Struthio camelus: one gene and its partners. The protein of the gene in region 1 interacts with the protein of each later gene in a biochemical or structural test. Links are inferred from orthologs where the notes say so. Each region holds a gene or a part of one and is shown in the gene's direction. Other genes may lie near its edges. The genes, in order: MCM7, DBF4 and CDC7.

Evidence for each region.
Region 2: of the proteins of MCM7 (region 1) and DBF4, one has a biochemical effect on the other in vitro, tested with the Homo sapiens proteins (2 studies listed by BioGRID). The link is inferred for Struthio camelus from reciprocal best matches to the Homo sapiens genes MCM7 and DBF4.
Region 3: of the proteins of MCM7 (region 1) and CDC7, one has a biochemical effect on the other in vitro, tested with the Homo sapiens proteins (2 studies listed by BioGRID). The link is inferred for Struthio camelus from reciprocal best matches to the Homo sapiens genes MCM7 and CDC7.

What each region holds. Positions count from the first base shown.
Region 1 is NC_090978.1:592,648-600,457, forward strand, and holds the start of MCM7 (DNA replication licensing factor MCM7), read left to right. Parts: upstream 1-4,787; 5' UTR 4,788-5,127; coding exon 5,128-5,158; intron 5,159-5,312; coding exon 5,313-5,389; intron 5,390-7,604; coding exon 7,605-7,769; intron 7,770-7,810. Other genes in the region: AP4M1 (AP-4 complex subunit mu-1), read right to left, coding at 362-406, 484-575, 662-768, 863-916, 1,053-1,119, 1,628-1,690, 1,797-1,877, 1,973-2,083 and 4 more. UniProt on the Homo sapiens protein: Acts as a component of the MCM2-7 complex (MCM complex) which is the replicative helicase essential for 'once per cell cycle' DNA replication initiation and elongation in eukaryotic cells.
Region 2 is NC_090943.1:25,178,713-25,185,906, forward strand, and holds the start of DBF4 (protein DBF4 homolog A), read left to right. Parts: upstream 1-4,191; 5' UTR 4,192-4,357; exon of another isoform or gene 4,358-4,362; intron 4,363-4,587; exon of another isoform or gene 4,588-4,779; intron 4,780-4,844; exon of another isoform or gene 4,845-4,897; 5' UTR 4,898-4,939; coding exon 4,940-4,985; intron 4,986-5,058; exon of another isoform or gene 5,059-5,384; intron 5,385-7,194. Other genes in the region: mitochondrial glutathione transporter SLC25A40, read right to left, coding at 348-466, 1,900-1,937. UniProt on the Homo sapiens protein: Regulatory subunit for CDC7 which activates its kinase activity thereby playing a central role in DNA replication and cell proliferation. Required for progression of S phase.
Region 3 is NC_090949.1:19,220,606-19,227,544, reverse strand, and holds the start of CDC7 (cell division cycle 7-related protein kinase), read left to right. Parts: upstream 1-3,933; 5' UTR 3,934-4,023; intron 4,024-4,277; exon of another isoform or gene 4,278-4,472; intron 4,473-6,706; 5' UTR 6,707-6,718; coding exon 6,719-6,812; intron 6,813-6,939. UniProt on the Homo sapiens protein: Kinase involved in initiation of DNA replication. Phosphorylates critical substrates that regulate the G1/S phase transition and initiation of DNA replication, such as MCM proteins and CLASPIN.

The sequences.
Region 1 (7,810 bases):
CCAACCCCATGGAAGCCCACTGGACACCCCCACCCCTACAGGCACCCATGGACACCCACTAGACCCCCCCCACCCATGGACACCCACCGGACACCCCCACCCCTACAGACTCCCATGGACACCCACCAGACCCCCCTCTCACCCACGGATACCCACCAGGCACCCCCAGCCCCATGGATGCCCACTGGACACCCCCCACCCCTACAGGCACCCATGGACACCCACTAGACCCCCCACCACCACCCATGGACACCCCTTGGACACCTCCACCCCTACAGACACCCATGGACACCCACCACACTCCCCCCTCTCACCCATGGACACCCACCAGCCACCCCCCAAGCCCCCCCTCCCCCCAAACCTTTTGGGTGGCAGGTCGCAGCGGAGCTTCAGGTACAGCCGCAACCTGCGGGGGACGCGGGGCCACGTCAGCACCGGGGTCACCCAAACCCCCCCCCACCCAAACCCCCCCCCCACCCTCACCTGCCCGCAGCGTCCCGGTCCACGGTTGGGAAGAGGCGGAAGGGCAAAGGCGCCGGGATGTCATCCGCCAGCTGGTACTGCATGAGCGTGAGCTGCCCCGGGTGGGGAGGGGGAAAGGGGGTCAGGATGGGTGCCCCCCCATCACCCTAGGGTGCCCCCCACCCATCCGAATCCTCACCTCACCCTGGCTCGGGGTCACCTTGAGCACCCGGCCGCTCTCGAACTCGTCCAGCTTGACGGCGCCGTGGAAGGCGCATTCATCCACGCGGACGGCCGTGCCGTAGCCTTGGTGGGGGGGGGAGGCGATTTTGGGGGCAAAAAAGGACGTTTAGGGTTTTTTTTTCCCCCTTGGGGGGGAGTTGGGGGGGGTGGGACGCACCTCGCACCTCCGACTTGCCCACGCAGAACTCCTCCGTCAGCCCGATGCGCATCTCTGCGGGGACGCGGCGGTGTCACCCACCGGGGTGGCGGGGGGACGGACACGGTGGTGGCGGGTTTTGGGGTGGGGGGGGACACCCAGCCCCGTACACCCAATGCCGCTGGGGACCCCCCCCCCCCCCCCCGCTCACCGCAGCAGCTGGGCACGTAGCACTTGAGGCGAATTTCCCCCTGGACGTCCACCTTCGTGGGTGTCCCCTGGGGACGCGGGGACGAGGGGTGAGCCGGGGTTGGGGGGGACGCGGGGCGTTTTGGGGACATGGGATTCCCCCCCCCCAGGCTGAGGTGTTGGGAGGGGGGACATGGGGGGACACGGGGTGCTTTGGGGACAGGGAACACCCCCAGGCCGAGCAAAGGTGCCTCGGGGGGAGACACGGGGTACGTGGGGCACTTTGGGGACAGGGGACACCCCCAGGCTGAGCTGAGGTGCCTCGAGGGGGGACACAGGGGGGACACGGGGCGCTTTGGGGACAGGGGACACCCCCAAGCCAAGCTGCCTGGGGGGGGACACGAGGGGGACGCGGGGCACTTTGGGGACAGGGGACACCCCCAAGCCAAGCTGCCTGGGGGGAGACATGAGGGGGGACGCGAAGTGCTTCGGAGACAGGGGACACCCCCAGGTCGAGGTGCCCGGAGGTGGGGGGACGAGTGGGAGGGAGGGGACACTGGGGGGGGACGACCGAGCGGTGGCCCCGTCCCCACTCACGTTGGCCGCGATGACCACCGTCAGCCTCTCCACCACGTCCACGAAAACCTCGTTCTTGGCGCCCTGTGGCCGCAGAGACAGTCGGCGGTGACACGGGGACACCCGTGGGGCGGGGGGAGGGGGGACACGGGGACACCCATCGGGTGGGGCGGCAGGGGGGGGGTCCTACCTGCTCCCCCCGAGGTGGCAGCACGGGGCGGCTGGCGGCCGAGCTGGGGGCCACCTTGCTCTGCTGCGTCTCGGCGCCGAACTGCAACGAGGAGGAGGAAGAGGAAGGGGGCGTTCGCCGGACGTGGGTGCGAGGGCACCCATGGGTGGGGTTGGGGGGGGGGGTTGGGTGCTCACCAGCCCGATGGAGCCCAGGTCCAGGAGGCTGAAGGGTTTGGTGGCCACGGGCTCCGTGTGCATGAAGTTGCGCAGCACCTCGGGCGCCGTGGTCTGGATGTAACCGTAGTCCTGGCGGGGGGGGGGGGACACACAGGGATGTCCCCGTGTCCCCCCCTCCCCCAGGGGTGTCCTCAGCCCCTTTGGGTTGTCCCCAGCACCCTAAAGATGCTCCTGAGTGGCCCCCCCCACAAAGGTGGCCCCCCAGCTCTCTCTCTAGGGTGTTCCCACTACCCCCCTCTAATGTCCCCGTCACCCCATGGGGGTGTCCCCACCACACTCAGGTGTCCCCATCACCCCCAGAGCTGTCCCCAGCCCCAGGAGAGTGTCGCTTGGCCTCCCCCATCATGTCCCCAGCTCCCTCTAGGGTGGCCCTGGTCCCCCCCCCCAAGCTGTCCTCAGCAGGGCCACCACTACCCCAGGGTGTTCCCACCTCCCTCTGTGGTGGCTTCAGTCCCCCAAACTGTCCCCAGCAGGGCCACCACCACCACCCCAGGGTGTCCTCACCTCCCTCTGAGGTGGCCCCAGTCTCCCAAACTGTCCCCAAACTGTCCCCATAGTGTCCTCATAGCACCCCCAGCAGGGTCACCACCACCCCAGGGTGTCCCCATCTCCCTCTGAGGTGGCCCCAGTCTCCCAAACTGTCCCCAAACTGTCCCCATAGCCCCCTCAGGGGGTCCACCACCACCCCAGGGGGTCCCCACCTCCCTCTGAGGTGGCCCCAGTCCCCCAAACTGTCCCCATAGCCCCCCCAGCAGGGTCACCACCACCCCAGGGTGTCACCACCTCCCTCTGAGGTGGCTCCAGTCCCCCAAACTGTCCCCAAACTGTCCCCATAGTGCCCCCAGCAGGGTCACCACCACCCCAAGATGTCCCCAGCTCCCCCCGGGGTGGCCCCTGTGTCCCTCCCAAGGCATCCCCAGGGACAACCCCACGCCCTAGGGGTGTCCCCGTCACCCCGTAGGGTGTCCCAAGGCGCCCACCCACCAGCATCTCGTCCAGGAGCTCGTAGACGAGGGCGAAGTTGAGGGCGACGTTCTTCTCGCTGAGGGTCCCGCAGCAGTCCCGCAGCAACGTCACCAACCTGCGCCGGCGGGCCGTCAACGGGTTCCCCCCACTCTGCCGCGTCCCCTCCTGTCCCCCGGTGTGTCCCCCCCACCCCCCGAAAACCCCCCCTCCCCATACCTATTGAGGAACTCCACCAAGGTGAAGGGCGACGCATCTGGCGCGGCGGTGGCCACCACGTAGAGCCCCGCGTGCCGCACGTGGACAAAGTGCCGGCCCTCGTGCACCTGCGGAGGTGGCGGGTGGGTGGTGGGGGGGGCGAAACGGAGCTGGGAAGGGTGCTGGGACCCCTCCCCCACCACCACCCCGTTTCAGCACCCTACCACCACCCTCACCATGAAGACGGGAGCTTGGTCGCCCGGCAAAGCCGTGATCTTCTTGTAGAAGGTGTCGGCGAGGTCCTGGCTGGTGGCACCGGCCTCGCCACGGACCGGTCTGCGGTTAAGGAGAAGCAGAAGAAGGTGGGGAGCAGGGGGGGCAAGGGGGACCCCTCCCCAACCTCTCACCCCATCCCACCCACCCAGCACCCACGCTGGAGCAGGATACAGTCCTTATGGATGAGGCGGTCGCCCTTGGAGGAGAGGATGAAGAGCTGGGAGAGCATCGCTGGCCTGGCGGGAGGCGGAGGGGGTGGCTCGAGTGGGACCCTCCCCCCCTTCCTTCACCCCGAGACCCCCCCCACTCACCCTCTGGCCACCTTTGGGTGCTACCAGGGCTCTGCACCTTCGAAAGAGCTCTGCGCCCTCCAGGTCCTGCTCCCCACCCCACCAGGACCCAGCACCCATCAAGTGCCCCTTCATCAAGACCCAGTACCCCCAGACACCCCCATCCACCCCCCCCACACCCAGCACCCCCCCAAGGCTCCAGCACCCCCAGAGCCCCCCATCCACCCCCCCAGCACCCCCCAAGTGCTCCCCCATCAGGACCCAGCACCCTCTGACCCCCCCCATCCCCCCCCATCCTCCAGCATCCCCCCCAAGGCCCCAGCACCCCCCAAGTGCTCCCCCATCAGGACCCAGCACCCCCAGACCACCCATCCATCCCCTCCAAGGCCCCAGCACCCCCCAAGTGCCCCCCATCCACCCCCCCAGCACCCAGCACCCCAAGGCCCTAGCACCCCCAGAGCCCCCATCCACCCCCCCAGCCCCCAGCACCCCCCCAAGGCCTCAGCACCCCCAGATCCCCCCATCCCCCCTCAGCACCCAGCACCCCCCCAAGGCTCCAGCACCCCCAGAGCCCCCCATCCCCCCTCAGCCCCCAGCACCCCCCCAAGGCCTCAGCACCCCCAGATCCCCCCATCCCCCCTCAGCACCCAGCACCCCTCCAAGGCTCCAGCACCCCCAGAGCCCCCCATCCCCCCTCAGCACCCAGCACCCCAAGGCCCTAGCACCCCCAGACCCCCCATCCAGCCCCCAGCACCCCCCCAAGGCCCCAGCACCCCCCAAGTGCCCCCCATCCACCCCCCCAGCACCCCTCCAAGGCCCCAGCACCCCCAGACCCCCCCATCCACCCTCCCCAGCACCCAGCACCCCCCGGCCCCGCCCCCCCGCAACCGCGGCCCCTTTAAGAGGGGGCGGGGCCAGGGCCCCCCGCGGGTCTCCCCGAACCTCGGTCCCGTCCGGCCGCGCGGGGGAAAGCGGGAGTCACGTGACGCGGCCCAAAGGAGGCGGAGCCCGCGCCGGGCCGCCTCGCCCCGCGATTGGGCGGGGCCGCGCGGGGCGGGGCGAAGGGGGCGAGGCCGGCCCCGGATTGGCCCGCGGGCGCCACGTGAGGCGCCTTTTCGCGCCACTTTTGGTTGCGGCGGCCGGAGCCGGAGTGGCGGCGCTCAGCGGCGTTGACCCCTGCAAGGTCCCGTACCGGGCCGCCGAACCGTGAACGCGACTGACCGGGCTTGACCCTTACGGCCACCCGTCACTGACCCTTGCCGCGACCCGTACCGACGCACAGAACCGGAGCCTCACTGATTGGGCCTCACCCCTACGGGCACCCGTACCGGAGACGCCGAACCGGAACCACACTGACCCCCACCGGTCCCCGTAGACCTCCCCGCCATGGCACCGCGCGATTACACCGCCGAGAAGGGTACGAAGACCCCCCCCCCCCGGAAGCCGGGACCGGCAGCGCGGGGCACTTCCGGGGTCGGGCGACCACCTGTGGCTTTGTTTACCGGGCCCGGGGGAGGGGGGGCGTGGGGACACCGGGACACCGGGCCTGACATGTCCCCTCCCTCCCGCAGATAAGGTGAAGCGCTTCCTGCAGGAGTTTTACCGCGATGGCGACTTGGGCAAGGAGTTCCCGTACCGGGACCAGCTGGTGAGAGATGGGGCAGCACCGGGCCGGGGTGGGGGGACCCTCGGGGGGGGGCTATTCCCGCCCCTGTCCCCCCACGGAGCCACCGGTGACAGCGCCGTGCCAGATTGGGGTCCCTTGTCCCCTTAGAAGAGCCATGGGTGCCACCATTGGGCTGGATGGGGGTCTGTCCTTGTCCCCATTGCGCTGGTAGCGTCACTGGGGGGACCCATGTGTGAGATCGGGGGTCCCTCGTCCCCCTAGAAGAGCCACGGGTGCCACCACTGGGCTGGATGGGGGTCTGTCCTTGTCCCCATTGCACTGGTAGCGTCACTGGGAGACCCATGTGTGAGATTGGGGGTCCCTCGTCCCCCTAGAAGAGCCACGGGTGCCACCTCTGGGCTGCATGGGGGTCTGTCCTTGTCCCCATTGTGCTGGTAGTGTCACTGGGAGACCCACGTGTGAGATCGGGGGTCCCTTGTCCCCCTAGAAGAGCCACGGGTGCCACCACTGGGCTGGATGGGGGTCTGTCCTTGTCCCCATTGTGCTGGTAGTGTCACTGGGGGGACCCACGTGTGAGATCGGGGGTCCCTCGTCCCCCTAGAAGAGCCATGGGTGCCACCTCTGGGCTGGATGGGGGTCCGTCCTTGTCCCCATTGCGCTGGTAGTGTCACTGGGAGACCCACGTGTGAGATTGGGGGTCCCTTGTCCCCCTAGAAGAGCCATGGGTGCCACCTCTGGGCTGGATGGGGGTCTGTCCTTGTCCCCATTGCGCTGGTAGTGTCACTGGGGGGACCCATGTGTGAGATTGGGGGTCCCTTGTCCCCCTAGAAGAGCCACGGGTGCCACCTCTGGGCTGGATGGGGGTCCGTCCTTGTCCCCATTGCGCTGGTAGTGTCACTGGGAGACCCACGTGTGAGATCGGGGTCCCTCGTCCCCCTAGAAGAGCCATGGGTGCCACCTCTGGGCTGGATGGGGGTCTGTCCTTGTCCCCATTGCGCTGGTAGTGTCACTGGGAGACCCACGTGTGAGATCGGGGTCCCTTGTCCCCCTAGAAGAGCCATGGGTGCCACCTCTGGGCTGGATGGGGGTCTGTCCTTGTCCCCATTGTGCTGGTAGTGTCACTGGGGGGACCAACGTGTGAGATCGGGGGTCCCTTGTCCCCCTAGAAGAGCCACGGGTGCCACCTCTGGGCTGGATGGGGGTCCGTCCTTGTCCCCATTGCGCTGGTAGTGTCACTGGGAGACCCACGTGTGAGATCGGGGTCCCTTGTCCCCCTAGAAGAGCCATGGGTGCCACCTCTGGGCTGGATGGGGGTCTGTCCTTGTCCCCATTGCGCTGGTAGTGTCACTGGGAGGACCCATGTGTGAGATCGGGGGTCCCTCGTCCCCCTAGAAGAGCCACGGGTGCCACCACTGGGCTGGATGGGGGTCTGTCCTTGTCCCCATTGTGCTGGTAGTGTCACTGGGGGGACCAACGTGTGAGATCGGGGGTCCCTTGTCCCCCTAGAAGAGCCACGGGTGCCACCTCTGGGCTGGATGGGGGTCCGTCCTTGTCCCCATTGCGCTGGTAGCGTCACTGGGAGACCCACGTGTGAGATTGGGGGTCCCTTGTCCCCCTAGAAGAGCCATGGGTGCCACCTCTGGGCTGGATGGGGGTCCGTCCTTGTCCCCATTGCGCTGGTAGTGTCACTGGGAGACCCACGTGTGAGATTGGGGGTCCCTCATCCCCCTAGAAGAGCCACGGGTGCCACCTCTGGGCTGGATGGGGGTCTGTCCTTGTCCCCATTGCACTGGTAGTGTCACTGGGGGGACCCATGTGTGAGATCGGGGGTCCCTCGTCCCCCTAGAAGAGCCACGGGTGCCACCTCTGGGCTGGATGGGGGTCTGTCCTTGTCCCCATTGCGCTGGTAGTGTCACTGGGAGACCCACGTGTGAGATTGGGGGTCCCTCGTCCCCCTAGAAGAGCCACGGGTGCCACCTCTGGGCTGGATGGGGGTCTGTCCTTGTCCCCATTGCGCTGGTAGTGTCACTGGGAGGACCCACGTGTGAGATCGGGGGTCCCTCGTCCCCCTAGAAGAGCCACGGGTGCCACCTCTGGGCTGGATGGGGGGTCCTTGTCCCCCTCCCAGGCTGAATCAGGCTCTCTCCTGTCACCCGCTGGAGCTGCGGGTGATGCCCCCGTGCCAGCCGGGGGTCCTTCCTCGCTCCCCCAACCCCTCCCACCCTGTCCCCCGCAGGCCGCGCTGGCGCACCGGGACCAGGTGGCCCTCTACGTGGCCCTGGACGACGTGGCCGAGGACGACCCCGAGCTGGCGGACGCCGTGTGCGAGAACGCCAAGCGCTACAGCCGCCTCTTCGCCGACGCCGTGCACGAGCTGCTGCCCCAGTACAAGGAGCGCGAGGTGCCCGAGAGCCGAGGCGGGGAGGTGTGGGGACACCCCGC
Region 2 (7,194 bases), on another chromosome or scaffold:
TAGGAAATATGGACACTCATTTTGTTTCTTACAGAGAGAAAACAATGAATTACTATACCAACAAAAAACATAGAGAAGAAAGGTTAATAAAAACTATTCTTATTTTTAGAAATGGTTAAAGATTGGGTTAAAGAGACTGGAAAGATTTCAATTAATCACTGCATTTATTAAAATATATGAAATTATGAGAAAACTATATACATATACACATATACATATTATATATATATATATACACATATTACATGTATGTATGTATGTATTTGCAGATATCTTGCTGGTGCAAGCTGAAGAGTAATCAACTTTGCAAAGATTCTCTCTATGGTGAGCTTAATAGTTTGCCTTACCAAAAAATGATGTAATTATAGCTCCAAAGCAAGAAGCTACTGCTTGCTGAATACTAGTTGTTTTATCTAAGTCACTATCATCCTTTTCAGCCATAACTTTATCCTTAGAGAAGGAAAACCTGTTAAGGAACAGAAAAATATATTGCAGAACTATATTCAAAATTTACAGAAATTCAAAGGAAAAGTTATTTTTAATTTTCATTAATACATTATATGTAAGTAGCAATAAATACCAATTTTCTACTTGCATGCAAAAAATCTTTTTTTTAAATTACAATATTTGCTCCATCTTTTTTAACAATCTAAATTTTCAAAATAAAAATAAATCTCCCAAATAATTCTTATATGTATTACAATGTTTACATTTTTGTAAATGACATTAAATATTTAATATGCATCACCTCTTGCTGCAAAGCATTTAGGAGCATGCAAATTTGCAGTACAATGATAAATGTGCAGCCTGTGGCCCATAAACTGTCTGTAGCATAGCAGAATAATTTATCTAGCTGTCCTCTTGTCATTCCTGTGAGAAAATCAGGAGAGGACCCCTGACTGATCCAATTCACAGCCTAGTCGCAGTGACTGTATTCCCTGTTCAACTCCTCATACAGCAAGAAATAGCAACTAACTAGCATACTGCATTGCTATCATTGAATATTCATTCCTTGAACAAATCCTGCTGTACAGCTATGCAGGCAAGGTTACAGTACCTTGCAAACGTATTCATAGTATCTAAAAAATAAGGAGATAATGTATTCCCAGTATCCATAACCAGCTAGAAAATTGTTTCTTCTTTTTTTTCTTTCCAGGACATAAAATCCCTAAATAATGGCATAGCTTTAAAAATGTATGTGTAATAAGTGTCGTTATGACTTTATTATTGTTTGCAAAGGTCTCCTTTTTTAGTTCAATTTATAGGAACATTATATTTTGTTATTTTCACTTAGCTTAAAAGATAAAGAGACTAAACTGCATAAAACAGATTTGTCTAACAACCATTAATTTTCTTTGGGATTTTTTGGCTTTTTAATGTAATAGATTTTCTAATTTATTCTATAATACTTTCAAAAATAGCATATACAGTTCTTTTATAAGAAGCAACCAGGCTGTGATCTCCAGAAACAAAGTCTTCAGCAACAATAAAAATTTAGAGCATCCTTAACTGGCTCCTCCAACTGCTTATACCTGTAAGTATCAGCACACTGCCTTTTTAACAGTATCTGCCCAACAGTTTGTGAAACTATGCTGTAACTGTACCAGGAAACTGATCTGGCTTTAAATAAAACAGTCTTTCGAGGAGATGAGTGGGGTGGGAAGCACTGAATTTGATTAGTTCCCCCATCTGTTCACAACATGCCTGCATGAACAGAAGGCAGCTTTTCCATCTGACTGAGTAAGAGAATTGCTGCATTTGGCCTTAGTACCTTGGCATGGCATGTTTTGCTAACTGTCCCGGCAGCAATGAGAGAAAGTCTCATAAGCTGATGGTCAAGCTTTTGTACTGAATCAGACATAATACTTCTGCAGCAACATAGCCAAAGAAGTCACTTACAAAATGCTACATGAAGCCCAAAGCCTTAGAAGGAACATCTATACCAGCCGGAACCTGCTACAGCACCTTGCAGACACAGAATGAGTATGACTCCTTTCTGCTCTTTAACTTGTTCTCATCCTTCTTTACTGCACTGTTAAGGTTACTACTCTTTCCCCACATACAAACTGCTAAGGTTAACACAGATCAACGATTTTCCAAATCAGATAAAAAAAAAAAAAGATACAAAAGAAAAATGTCAGAGGACTCCCACAAAACATGAACCCCCATAGGGATTACTCTTAGAGAAGAGCTGGGAAGGAACTGTGGGTTACAGCCAATGCCTTACAGTTTCCATAGAGGCTTAGAAACACAGCCAAGACTGACAGCTGTATTCCAAGCCACCTTAGTGGGATATCGGGACACATTTTCAACTAGGAACACAGCACCTATGACTCACCTCATTGGCTACACTGCTGCCATGCTGAGGCGGTACACCATAAAAACCAAAAAGTAAGATGGGTAGCAGTGGTAATGTCTTTGGCCAATAGCTAAACTAACTCTCAGATTTCAAAAGAAACACCTGACAAATTTGCATGACCATAAATTACTCATCACCACAAAAACAAATACATATTTAATCCGCACAGCTGTTGGTTGAGTAAATGATTCCATGTTCCTAATCACGGGCTCAAGACAGAATCTTTGTAGATACACCCAATGTTCTTTTCTCATTATCTGTCAAACATGATCTGCACTTGTAAGAACAAAATACAAATTGGTTAAATACTTACTTATTGCTAAATAAAACACTGAAAGCTGTTTGCATGCAGAACCCACCACACAAGTACTTAAAGCAAAAGGATCCAACAGCGTTGAATACAACTTTCATATACAAAAATCATATTAGTCAAACAGGCATAATCGTCAAATTCATAAAGAAATCATTTGTAACTCCCATATGCCATGAAACGTAAAAACCCAGGCATTCTGAGCCATTGCTGAGGCTGGAGTCTCACCAGCGGTGTGGAAACAGATCTTTCTTAGTGAGAAGAAGCTGTAAACAGGATCACGCACCAACAAAGCTGTCTTCAAATATAGCACGCTGACATTTTGTTACTATCTTCTTATCTGCAGTCACATTTTAAACCAAATGCTCTCAGGAGTTCCTTCTCTATTCTTTAATTTCTTTGATTTCTGGTAGCATAAGTGTTTTACGATTATTATGAATTGTATTATGTAAACACAGATCATAATTATTACTGTATCTGTAAAAGTGTTGTAAAAGAAGACTAGAATGATATGAAATGTACCCTGGAGCAAAAAGACATTCAAGACCAAGAAAATGAAAGACTTCTATTCACAAACTGTTACTTGGTCCTGAAAGGTTTCTATGGCAGTATGAAATGAAGTAAGAGATTTTAGTGCCTTTTTTGCTTTCACAAAGCAATCCCTAAAAAGAAAAGAAATTTCCAATCAGGGCATAGAAAAATAAGGATTTGTTTTTCTTACACAAATCAATAGAATAGAGTTTGTTTTCTGTAGCTTCCTTTTGAGATCCCTAGGTCCCTTGGGAGTCACTGCACTAAACTAGTAAGACAATAGCTTAAATCTCTGACGCTAACATTGTTTTCCACAGCCTTTTGAGCTGTGAACTAGCTCAGAGAAGCTGCACACTCTAAACAGAACATGAAGAGAGCACAAGACTTTCCTTGAATTTGGTGCTTTTTCCTTTCCCATTATGACTTTATGTTCTAAAAGGACACTAAACACTTCTCAGTCGGGGAAAAAGGCCTCAAACTTTACCACTTATATAAGTGATCATTACTTTATCATTTGCAGAAATAGGAAAGGTTGACTGGGATAAGGTTAAAAATGAAACAACTGGGGTATGTGTTTTCTAGCTGAACGACCAGTATGCAAACGAATTTGAACTTTCTTGCTCCCACCGATACTCGGTAGGAGGATTACAATGCCAACACAAGTATGGGCAAAATCCAAGAAGTTGCATAAACACAGCTGAGTCACTAAATTCTGGCCCTGTAAATAGAGGGATTCACTTGTTTTTTAAAGCCTGACAAAACAGGAAACAGCAGCCTCTCACAGCACTTCTACCAACAGCTTGCATAGTAAGTACAGTTTCAAATTCACACACATCCCATGGGCAATTTTTAGTCCCTGGTTTTCCGAAGAGGTGTTTGAAGTTAGCAGTAAACGCCTACAGAAGAACATCACTGAGCCAAGGAGTTAAGGAGTTACCTCTCCCCATCTCCCCAGTCCCCTACAGGCTTTCTCCCGCCAGCGCTCTCGAACACACAGCTTCCGCCTTCCCACCGCGCAGGCAAAGCCCCCCCCCTCCACCCTGCCGGGGCCAGCTGTAAGCACACCCCAGACACTTTCTCCCAGGGGTTTCTCCTCGTGATGGCGCCCACCGACCCTCGCCCGCGCCTCCCCGGCCCCTGAGGTGCGGCGCGGCGAGGTGAGGTGAGGCAGGCGGCGGCGGCCTTCCCCCCGCCTCACGCGCTAACGGCCGGCGACCTCCCTCCGCCCAAGGCCCGGCCACCGCGCCCCCCCCCAGCCGCGACTCCTCTCTTTCCTCCTCCACCGAGGCACCACGTCCCGCCTTTCCCTTCCCCTCGCTGGGTTCCCGGGCCCTGCCCACAGCCACCCGGCATCGCCTCCCCCGCCCCGCCCCTCCCCCCGCCCTACCGCGTGCGTGCGCGCGCGCCCGCGGACGACCGTTGCTCAGGCTCAGCCCGCGGCGGGGTGCGGGGCGCCGCCGGGCGGCAGAGTTGCTTTCCTCGCCTCGGCCCGCGGCGCTGCTCCCCGGGGAGCAGAAGCGAGGCCCAGCGCGGCGGGCTGCCGGAGGCGGGAAAGCGCGGTGAGCTGAGCTGAGCTGAGGTGAAGTGAGGTGCGGCGACCCGCGCCTGCCCCAACGGCGGCGGAGGGGCCCGGGCCCAGGGCCGGGAGCCGGCTCTGGGGCGAGCCGGAGCTCAGCGGCCGCGCTGCGCCCCCGCAGGTCCAGCAGCGGGCGGAAGAGAGGATGTGACTCCGCGGGAAGATGAAACCGAGCGCTGCGGCGGCCGCCAGCAAAGGAGCGCGTCCCCGTAAGTGGCGGGTGGCCCCGCGGCCGCGGAGCGCCCGGCTGGGAGCGGGGGGGGGGGCTGTGTGGGACCTTACCCACCGGCAGGGGGGTCACCTTCAGCGGCGGCCCGCCCGGGGCCTCCTTCCGCGGCCTCCTGGTGAGCCGCCCCGGCAGCCCGGGGCTGCTGCTGGCTCCGGGCCTCCCGCCTCTGTCGGGCTAGCGGTGACACGCGTTGAGCTGTCTTTGTTCGTGGTGTGCAGCCGAAATAACGCTAAGGATAGAGATCAATCTAGCAGGTTAGCGCTTAACTTTTTTTTCTTTTTTTAACTTCTCCATAGTTTTGGGGATTAAATGTAAAAGTATGTAACCGAAAGGGTAGATAAGCTAGGTTACTTGCTCCTTTTTATGAGCTGTTTGAAGTGCAAACAAGCAGCAAATAGTAGCTATGTTGAAATTCGCTAGGCCTCTGCCCTGCAGGCTGCTCCACCCAGGCAGATGTCTGCTGGTATCAGCAACACACGTAGGAGGTCTCCTCACCATGTTAGGCTATGGATATTAAAATGTTCCTTCTCTACATGAATACCATGAAGTTATCTTTATGAGAGACTGCTATCCTGTTATTGCAGTACTGCTAACTAACTGCAAGCTTTTGATTATCCTCAGGAAGTTTGATATGTATTTTCCAGGGTTAACTCTAGTATTTAGTGCATTAATCTGCGCTTCCCTGGCCATCATATATGCGTGTTGGGTATAAGACCACATTTGGTTCTTGGGTCTCCTACAGAACTTCACATTTGCACATCTGCTTATCTTTTGCCCAACATTTCATCCGTCTTTAGTTTCTAAATCAGTTGTGTTACCCCAAGCCGTCCACATTTTCCTGCTTTCCTAGTTACTTCTTTTGGTCTTCCAGATTCTGCCAAACCTATTCTTGCTTCACTTTTGTCTATTCCTAACTGTTACTTACAGAGTCCTGCAGTATCAGTGGTGGTACTCATCCCTTTTTCAGCTCAGATAGTTTCAGGTAGGGAGAGAATACATAACAGAGGAACCTTTTTTTTTTTGTCTCTAGAAGAGCCTTGCTCATTTCCTGCAGCAGCTGTGGTTGTCTATTTTGAGCTGCTTCGGAAGAAAGCAACTAGTAGTAGGGTGTCAGTCAGTGAGCAAGAAAAGACAACGTAAACCCGACATTATGTCAGTCTTGGATGGTCCCGTTTCCATCAGTGGTTGTAAGTGGATTCCTCTGGAAGTATATAAGACCAGGGAAGGTATAATCACTAATATTATCTTAGTGCCCAACTGTGGTCAGCTACAGCGACTTCATGAATTGCATGTCATGTCTGTGCATTTGGAACCCCTCAAAGTATTTTTCTTTCATGTACTTGTCCAGTCCCCCTTGAAACCATGTCTTAGTAACTACACCAGTCTTTGTGCAGCAACATGCTGCGCAGAGCTGACCTGCTGCACAAAGAACCAATTCCTCTTGTCCGTTTTGTACCTGTCTCCTTGTTTTGTTTCGTGTCCCATATCCCTTGTACTGGAACAGGCTGTTTAGCCGCCCTCTCTGTGTTCTTCTTGATTTTATACGTTTTTACTGTATTTTCTGTAAATGGTTTATTTTGCAGACTGTCAAGTCTTAATCTACAAAGTCATTTCTTATGCAGAAGTTTTTTCAAACCTTCGATCGTCCTTGTTACCCTTTTGATCCCTTTTATTTATTTATTTAATTTTTTTGCTTAGAAGGGTATGCTGTATCTAAGGAGTGAGCAAACCATGAATTTATACAGTGGCGTAATAAAATTCTGCACTTCTATTTTTTATTCCTTTTTAGGTTTTTTTACTATTTTGATTGCTACTCGTTATTCAGCTGATGTTCTCACAGACATATCTACCACAGTCCCAGAATTTTCCTTGGGAAATGAGGCTTGCTTCTCACCTATACTGAAATTTGTGTTGCTTACTTAAAAACCTAGTCTGATCTAGCTCTAGGAAAGTTCAACTGTTCAAAGCACAGTTACATTGCCAGATGTGGTTTCTTAATGTTAGAGCAAAATTCACCAGGAGAGAAAGAGCTGTTATAACTAGAATTATGTTCAAGTTCCCAGACTTAAGCATAGTCTTACTGCATCTCAGGTGGGTACTCAAACATTAAATAACAAAAAGGAGGATCTAAGTCTTACATTTTTTGTAATTTTAGTTACTTTTTCGTCTGCTTTTGTTCTAATGGGACT
Region 3 (6,939 bases), on another chromosome or scaffold:
AGACTTTCCTACCTCTCTCTGTGCTGGATTCTTTCATCAATTATCTTCCTGGCTGTGTCCTTTCTTTTTTATAAGGTTAGAGCATAATACATACACAGGGAGAATTGTGCTAGCTTAATTGACCTAGGAAGAGGTTAACAGACGTTTTCCAGAGTCAGCACTGATTCTTTTACATTTTTCAGTAGATATATATAAAAAAAAAAAATTCGATTCACCTGCAGATTCTGGCAGAGTGGATGCAATCACACAGCAACGTTTTGATCATTTCTTCTCAGACCTCCCAGAGGTTGGTTTTGGCAACTGCTTGTCTGCCTTAAGCAAAGTTCTTCGTGGGCCTGCCTTGTCATTTGGCTTCTCATCCTACAGATCCAACAAAAGAGATAAAGTCACAAGAGAAGACAGTGCAGCAGTTTGGCTTGCAGAGCATTAGACATGCCATTCTGTTTATCATATTTAGTTGATGTAATTTCTTCTTTCCCCTCTGATAAGCTCCTAACTTAGGTACATTGTAAGAATTGGAAGCTCAGTGCTGAATGAGAGCTTTCTCTGCCTCATCTGCAGAGAAGTAAAGGGATTTCTGCTTATTCAAGCTAAATGAAAAGAGGGCATTTCTCTTTTTTTTAGCAAAGGAAGAGAAGCTTTGCCTTTACCAATTCTACATTCTAAATAAAATAAAAACAAGCTAGAGAAGATGTAGTAGAAACAGAATACCTAATCTATCACTCCTGTGAAGATGTATATGAAGAAAGACATTGATGAAGAGGTGATTTTCGACAAGCTACTCATATGAGGAGAGTCATGGCTAACTTGACTGAACTTCCTCCTTAGACAGACAAGAAGCAAGAAGAGAAACACAAATGAAGGCCAGTGTCAAGACTGGCATTTCTGGAAGACTAAAAAAAGAGTAGGACAACAAAAAAAGACAATATTAGATTATATTACAAGTGCAGCTACACTAGTGAGAACAAATAAACGTAAATTTGACATGATGGAGAACAGAAATCACTGGAAAGACTGAATGAGGGATTGCGATAAATTTGGATCAATAGGAAAAAGAGGAAACAGAGAGGAACAAGTCATCAGTGTAGACAAATGACCGAGTCTAAATGATAAGGATTTTAGGTGTTAGAATAAAGAGAGTCTGAGATATTATAAGGAAAGAAATGACATCTGGACCAAGCTTAGATTAGAAGATAAAGTGAAAGGGATTTCTCACTCTGAATGAATACAGCCTGAGTGACAGGGAAAAAGGTAGCATTGACATCATTAACAAAGAAATGCTAATAACGGAAGCTCTATAAGAAGTGCAAGGATAAAAAAGGTGGTTCTACATTATCAGAACTCAAAGGCACAAAGGGAGGCCAGCGAGGTAGGCTGTAATTCTGAACTGGCCAGGAGGCAGCAGAGCTATACGTGCAACTCAAAAATAATCTCCAGATATCTCCAGATAATATCCAGATTTTTGAATAATTAATGCACTGCTTGTATGCAGTGTACAGTATGCAGAAATGATTGCTGGCAGGCTGTCCTAATAGGTAAATTTAGAATGACAGTGCCTGTCATTAGCACTAGGACAAGCCTGCTCTCATTTATGCTTATGCTATCCTTCTACCTGCTATAGGATTACATGGAGAAAAGAAAGAACAGAATTTGGCCTGCATTATTCTGTTATTATCCCTCACTTAATTCATGTTTGCTGTAATCTGCTCTTAAATACTCTCGCCCTTAAATAAAATTGTTGAGAGTTTACTTTACTTAGCTAAATCTCTAGCTGCTGCACTGGCTTATTAGAGCTCTTAACAGAATGTGCAAATTAGAATTGCTAAAAAAAACCCAAAGAACACCGCAGAAGCTGAGCAACATGTTTCAACACCTTCTTTCTAAACTGCACGATAGGATACTACACAGCGAGTAAAGAAGGTGGAATCTGTTTCCGATTTTACAGTTTCTGTTAATTTCATCTTATTATGAGACAATAGCCAAGTTAGAGTGTTGCCTTATGAACCTTGACCACTTTAGGCTTTCCTGTTATTTACAAAGGGGTGAAGTTACAGATCTCTACGTGAAGCACCCAGTAAACACAATATTACGTTTCATATTCTAGTGAGCAAGAGTCCTAGTGTATTCAAATGCAGGACAGCTAGTCTTTACCATTAAAGAGCAATTCTTTTTAATGTCAGAACAAAAAGAAATGGTGAAAAAAATGTTTTGATAAAAGACAAAAAGTGAAGTGCCAATTATTTTTTTAAACATGCAACTGCACTAGCTTCAATAAAATTCCACCACTTCAAAAAACAGCAAAATACAATTCAAATAAGATAGCCTCTTTACCTGGCACTGGTTATTGTTACTTGACAGTTTGGGGCCCAGATGTTCAGTAACGGATGAGGAATGGACAGTGAAACGTAGAAGAAATTGTTTTAAAACACCTCTGCGCTCTTAGGAGCGCACTGCTTAGGTGCAGGGGATGTAGTGCAGTGGTTCATTGAATACATCACTATCCTGCTTTAAGCTTTCCCCTGTGCAATGGGGCAAAGTTCTGTAATGCTCATGTTAAGTTTCAGTGCTTCAATAGTCCTGAAGAACTACTCATGAGTTTCTTAATTACTTCAGTATTATCATACATACACCCAGGGAGCTGAGGCCTTCTCAGTTTGTAACCTATGACCACTAAAGCTGCAGAGTTTTCTTGCAGAGGGCCTAGGAACTATAGCTTAGAAAAACAGGCCTATTGTGAGTAGGCCTAAATCTGCTCTACAAATACAGCTCCACGAGATAGTTTTCAGAGTGGCACAAGTCAAAAGAATTTGAAACCCACTAATCTCTGTCCTTTTCATAGGAGGTAAGGCATAAACGAATCTTTTTCTTTACTGTTGCACGTTTTTCTTATGCACTATCATCCCATGCTTGTTTGTGCCATGGCCAGTGGCTATAGCGCACTCCAGACTCTAGATGCTATATATTTTTAACTTTGCATTCTGTGCAACTCTTTTGCTATACAACTAATTAATAAAGCAAAACAGCAGGCCAAGTTATATTCTCCATTATTACTGGTGTAAATGAAGAGTTGTTTCACAGAGTCTCAAGTATTTATCTGGATTTATAGCAGAGCTAATGACAACAACACCTTATCTGGGCACCGTAATTATGTCATAATAATCACCTATAGGAAATAAATGTATAAAGGCTAAATATTGTTGTGCAGAGCATGAATACCCTGAGCAGTTCCAGACATGTGGAATCAGCAGATGCACAAAACAGCTCTGAGTTACCCGTTGTGCATTAAACGCACCCTCATATGTTTTCCTCTGTCTAGGCAGTTATCACAGAGCTTTTTGCCTCGCAGTTCACAGAAGTGCAAGAACCCTCCAGCGCGCTTTCCCAGCAGCATTTTCTCAAGCAGCACTTGAACTGTATCTGCGTGCTTGGCCCTTCAGCGGGCACGAGGAATTAGTACGTTGTTTAAACAAAGATCCCTCGTTCTCCACCACGTGCTTCTGAGCACATGTACCAAAAAGCCTGAGCGACAAACCTGAAGCCGCGGGCCAGGGCCGAGCGCCCCGCTTCCCGGCGCTCAGCCCGCCCGTCGCCGCCGGCCCCAGCAGGCCCTGGGGCCAGTAACCACTCCTGCGCTCACGCTTACTTCCTTGCTGCCGACCCCGCTGCCCCTTTCGGGCTGCCAGGGGAGGGCAGGGGCAGCCCGCTCGCAGGCCGCTGTCCCGGGTAACGCCCACCACCGCCGCCGCCTCAGCTCGGCTCCCGCAGCGCGAGGCCCGAGGCGCCGCGCGGGCTCGCCACAGCCGCCACAGCCGCCACGAGCCCGCGCGCACCGGCCGGCCGGCCGCCCCCTTGGGCGGGACGCTCCCCGCCGGCTGGCCAATAGCCTCCCGCTTTCCCTCGGCCGGCGGTCCCATTGGCCGAGGCCACGGTTTCCGCCGAGGGCCGGGATTGGTCGCGGAGGGGCATTCGGCAAAAGGCGGCAGCAGGCAAAAGCCCGTTTCGTCGCGGGAGCCCGCGCGGCGCGTGAGTCTGAGCCTGCCCCTCCCCCACCCCAGCACCGCCGGCGGGGCCCCTTCCCCGCCACCCCCCTCCCCCCCCACCCCATCCCGCGCTGCCGGCCGTTGGGCGCTGACTGAGGCGCCGGTACCGCTGCCCTGAGGGGCGAATCGGTCCGGTGCGGCCCGGGCCGGCGGGCTTCCCGGGGCGCCCCTCGCCCGGCCCCGCGCTGCGGGGCTCCAGCGTGCCCTGCGGGGAGCCCGGCGGCGGGGGGCGGGTGCCTTGGCGGGCTGGGCCCTGCCCGAGCGGCCGCTCCGCTCTTGTCCGGCGGGCTCCGCCGCCCGAGCGCCCAGGGCCCTCTCCGCACGGGCCTCCTGACGCGTTAAGAGCCTCCTTCAGGGCGCACCTCGCTGCGTCCGTGGGTCACTGCAGGAGCCGTTCACACATCGCGTACCTTCAACTTTGCCATTTAATTGGTAACTTCTGCTCACTTTTTAATATTTATGCTCTCAGACTGCTGCTTAAATGCAGCTGAAAGCGTGCATTTGACCAGGAGCCTTGCTACCAGGAGCAGTCTTGTAAAGCTAACCTGCTGTGACACATCCCAGATGTTTTTCTTTTGTCTAGCAGTAGTCGCATAAGGTAGCTCAAACTGAAAGCGTGGAAGTGTGATTTCTAAGTGCTTGTGCTGTAATGAAATGATTTATTGTAAATTTGTGGAAAATGCAAACTTACTGCATGACTTGATCCAGCCACAAAATTTGCCTTTCTTAAATAACAAAATAGATACACTAATACCATCCTTTGGTTTTGGCACCCCCTGCTTTTTCCTGCAGTACCAGTGGGTATGCTCCTGTTTGAAGAGCTTTGTGTTTTAGTGATAACAGATTGTGTTACAGGTAGTGACATCTGCTTTAGCCAGAGATTTGGCAGTAGTATCACTAATTTTTGTGTGTGAGGTTCTAATATCTGACTCAAAAGACTCTAAAACTCTGCAGGTTGTTTGAACCTGTCACTACCTGGTTGTTTCTCTTTTTTTATATTGGGAAAAACAGGTTTTTGTTTGTTTGTTTTTTGGAGATCTGTGATTTAACTGTAAAATAATTCTTTGAACTGAAACTTTGGATCATTCCTCTTCACTTTTCGTCTGTAACAGTGATTTTTTTGAGCATTTATTAATGTAAAAACTAAACATCTGACTGAATCAAACTTGGCTAAATGTTCTGTTAAGCCCTCTTCCAAATCAGCACGCTGTTGGGTTTTTTCTTAACATACTCAAATATTCTAGGTATTCTGTAAATAGTTATGCAAATATTAGCTTTTATGTTTAGCAAAAATGAATGTAAATGACACCTTGAGATACTGAGTCCCTTTTACCCTGCTCATGGGCAGGAAGTCCTGGAACATGTGTTCCCAGGGTGTTTTGCAGGCAGACAGGAGCTTTCATCTTCTGTATCCCAAACCAGCTGGGTGTAGCTAGCCTTGAACTGGAAGAGACTGTAGCTGAGGCTGGGATGGCACTGAATCAGAGCAAGTAAGCTGCAGTGAGAGGCGGAGTGCACTAATTTGCACTCCTTCCTCTGATGAGGAGGCCCTGCCATTTCAGGTGTGGAACAGGCTCATCCGCTTACTTGACGCTAGTGGAGGGAGCGTTTAACTGTGAAAGGCTGTAGACGGATCTCACTCCATCAGTTTCCAAGTCCTATTCTCCTTATCTATCCTTTACCGCTTCTCCAACGAAGCTTCAAAAAAAGGCTGCTGCTTGTCACTGTTCTGCTGCATGGGGATAACAAAGGAAAGGTAGCCAAAATTCTTTGGGGACAAAAGTATATTTCTAGCTTCATACCTGAAAACAGGTGAATCCTTTCTGCTGACAGTTTCCAAAATATGTTTCCTCCTTGTAGGAAAGTTCAGCCAGAAGTTTGGCAAAGTTACAAGCAAGAAAGATCTTTAAATATGTGCTAGGTGACTGTAATAGATGCAGATTCCAGGCTCATTTATCACTGTGGTTATTCTTCCCTAGTGCTCTATCTCTTTCCTCCTTTTTTTCATGATATAGAATTAGCGGCTTCTGAATTATACACTGTAAGTACACTACAGCTTGCTTATTCTTACAGCTTGCTTAATTTCCAAGATTGAGCAAGAGGCATATCAAAACAGCATGTGTGCATTTCTTGTTATGGTGAAAAGGAAACTAAGAATTATACTTCTTGTTGATCTCTAGAAGAAAGAGAAATCTCCCATCATATTGCAAAGATAATCATTTTCCTCTCTTATAATTTGTCTCAGGAGTGGGTTTTTTTTTTTTTTCCCGTTACTCTGTATGAGTGTTGCACTACGCAGATATTTGTGTGGATCAATTCCTTGCTTTCCAAAGCAAACTTTAAGGAAAGGATAATGCTTTAATGTGAATGAGTAAACACTAAAGATGAAAGAGAATCACTTGTCTAAGCTCATACTGCAGTCTTCCTTCCCTTCCCCCTTTCTTCCTCTTTCTTGGAGATAGAGTGGGTTTATTGGTTTAATTTTTCTCTTTTTCTGGGATGATGGGTAAGGCTTTGTTGTTTTAATTAGCACAGAGGAACTCCTCAAACTCCCTGAATCTCATTTCAGGAACTGTGTGAAGGAGAAGGAAGTCTATTACCAGATATGTTTGCTCCCCCAGGTGTCCAGATGTGGTCCTCAAAGTCTTGGATTTTTTTTACTTCAGGTTAGTTTTGTGATGGAGACAGTGTTGAAGTCTCATTGTGATGAACAGCACCCCCAAGAGGCTGAAGAATTGCAGAGGAAGCAGGAGCAGAACAAGCAGCTTTCAGGTATGTGCTAAAACAGGGACCACTAATATTACTTTTTGTTGCTGGCATGCTTTCTCACTTCAAGGACTGTCAGGAGCAATATACTGTTTGTATATGGTCCTATTGTATAAAGAATTTGTGAAATGAA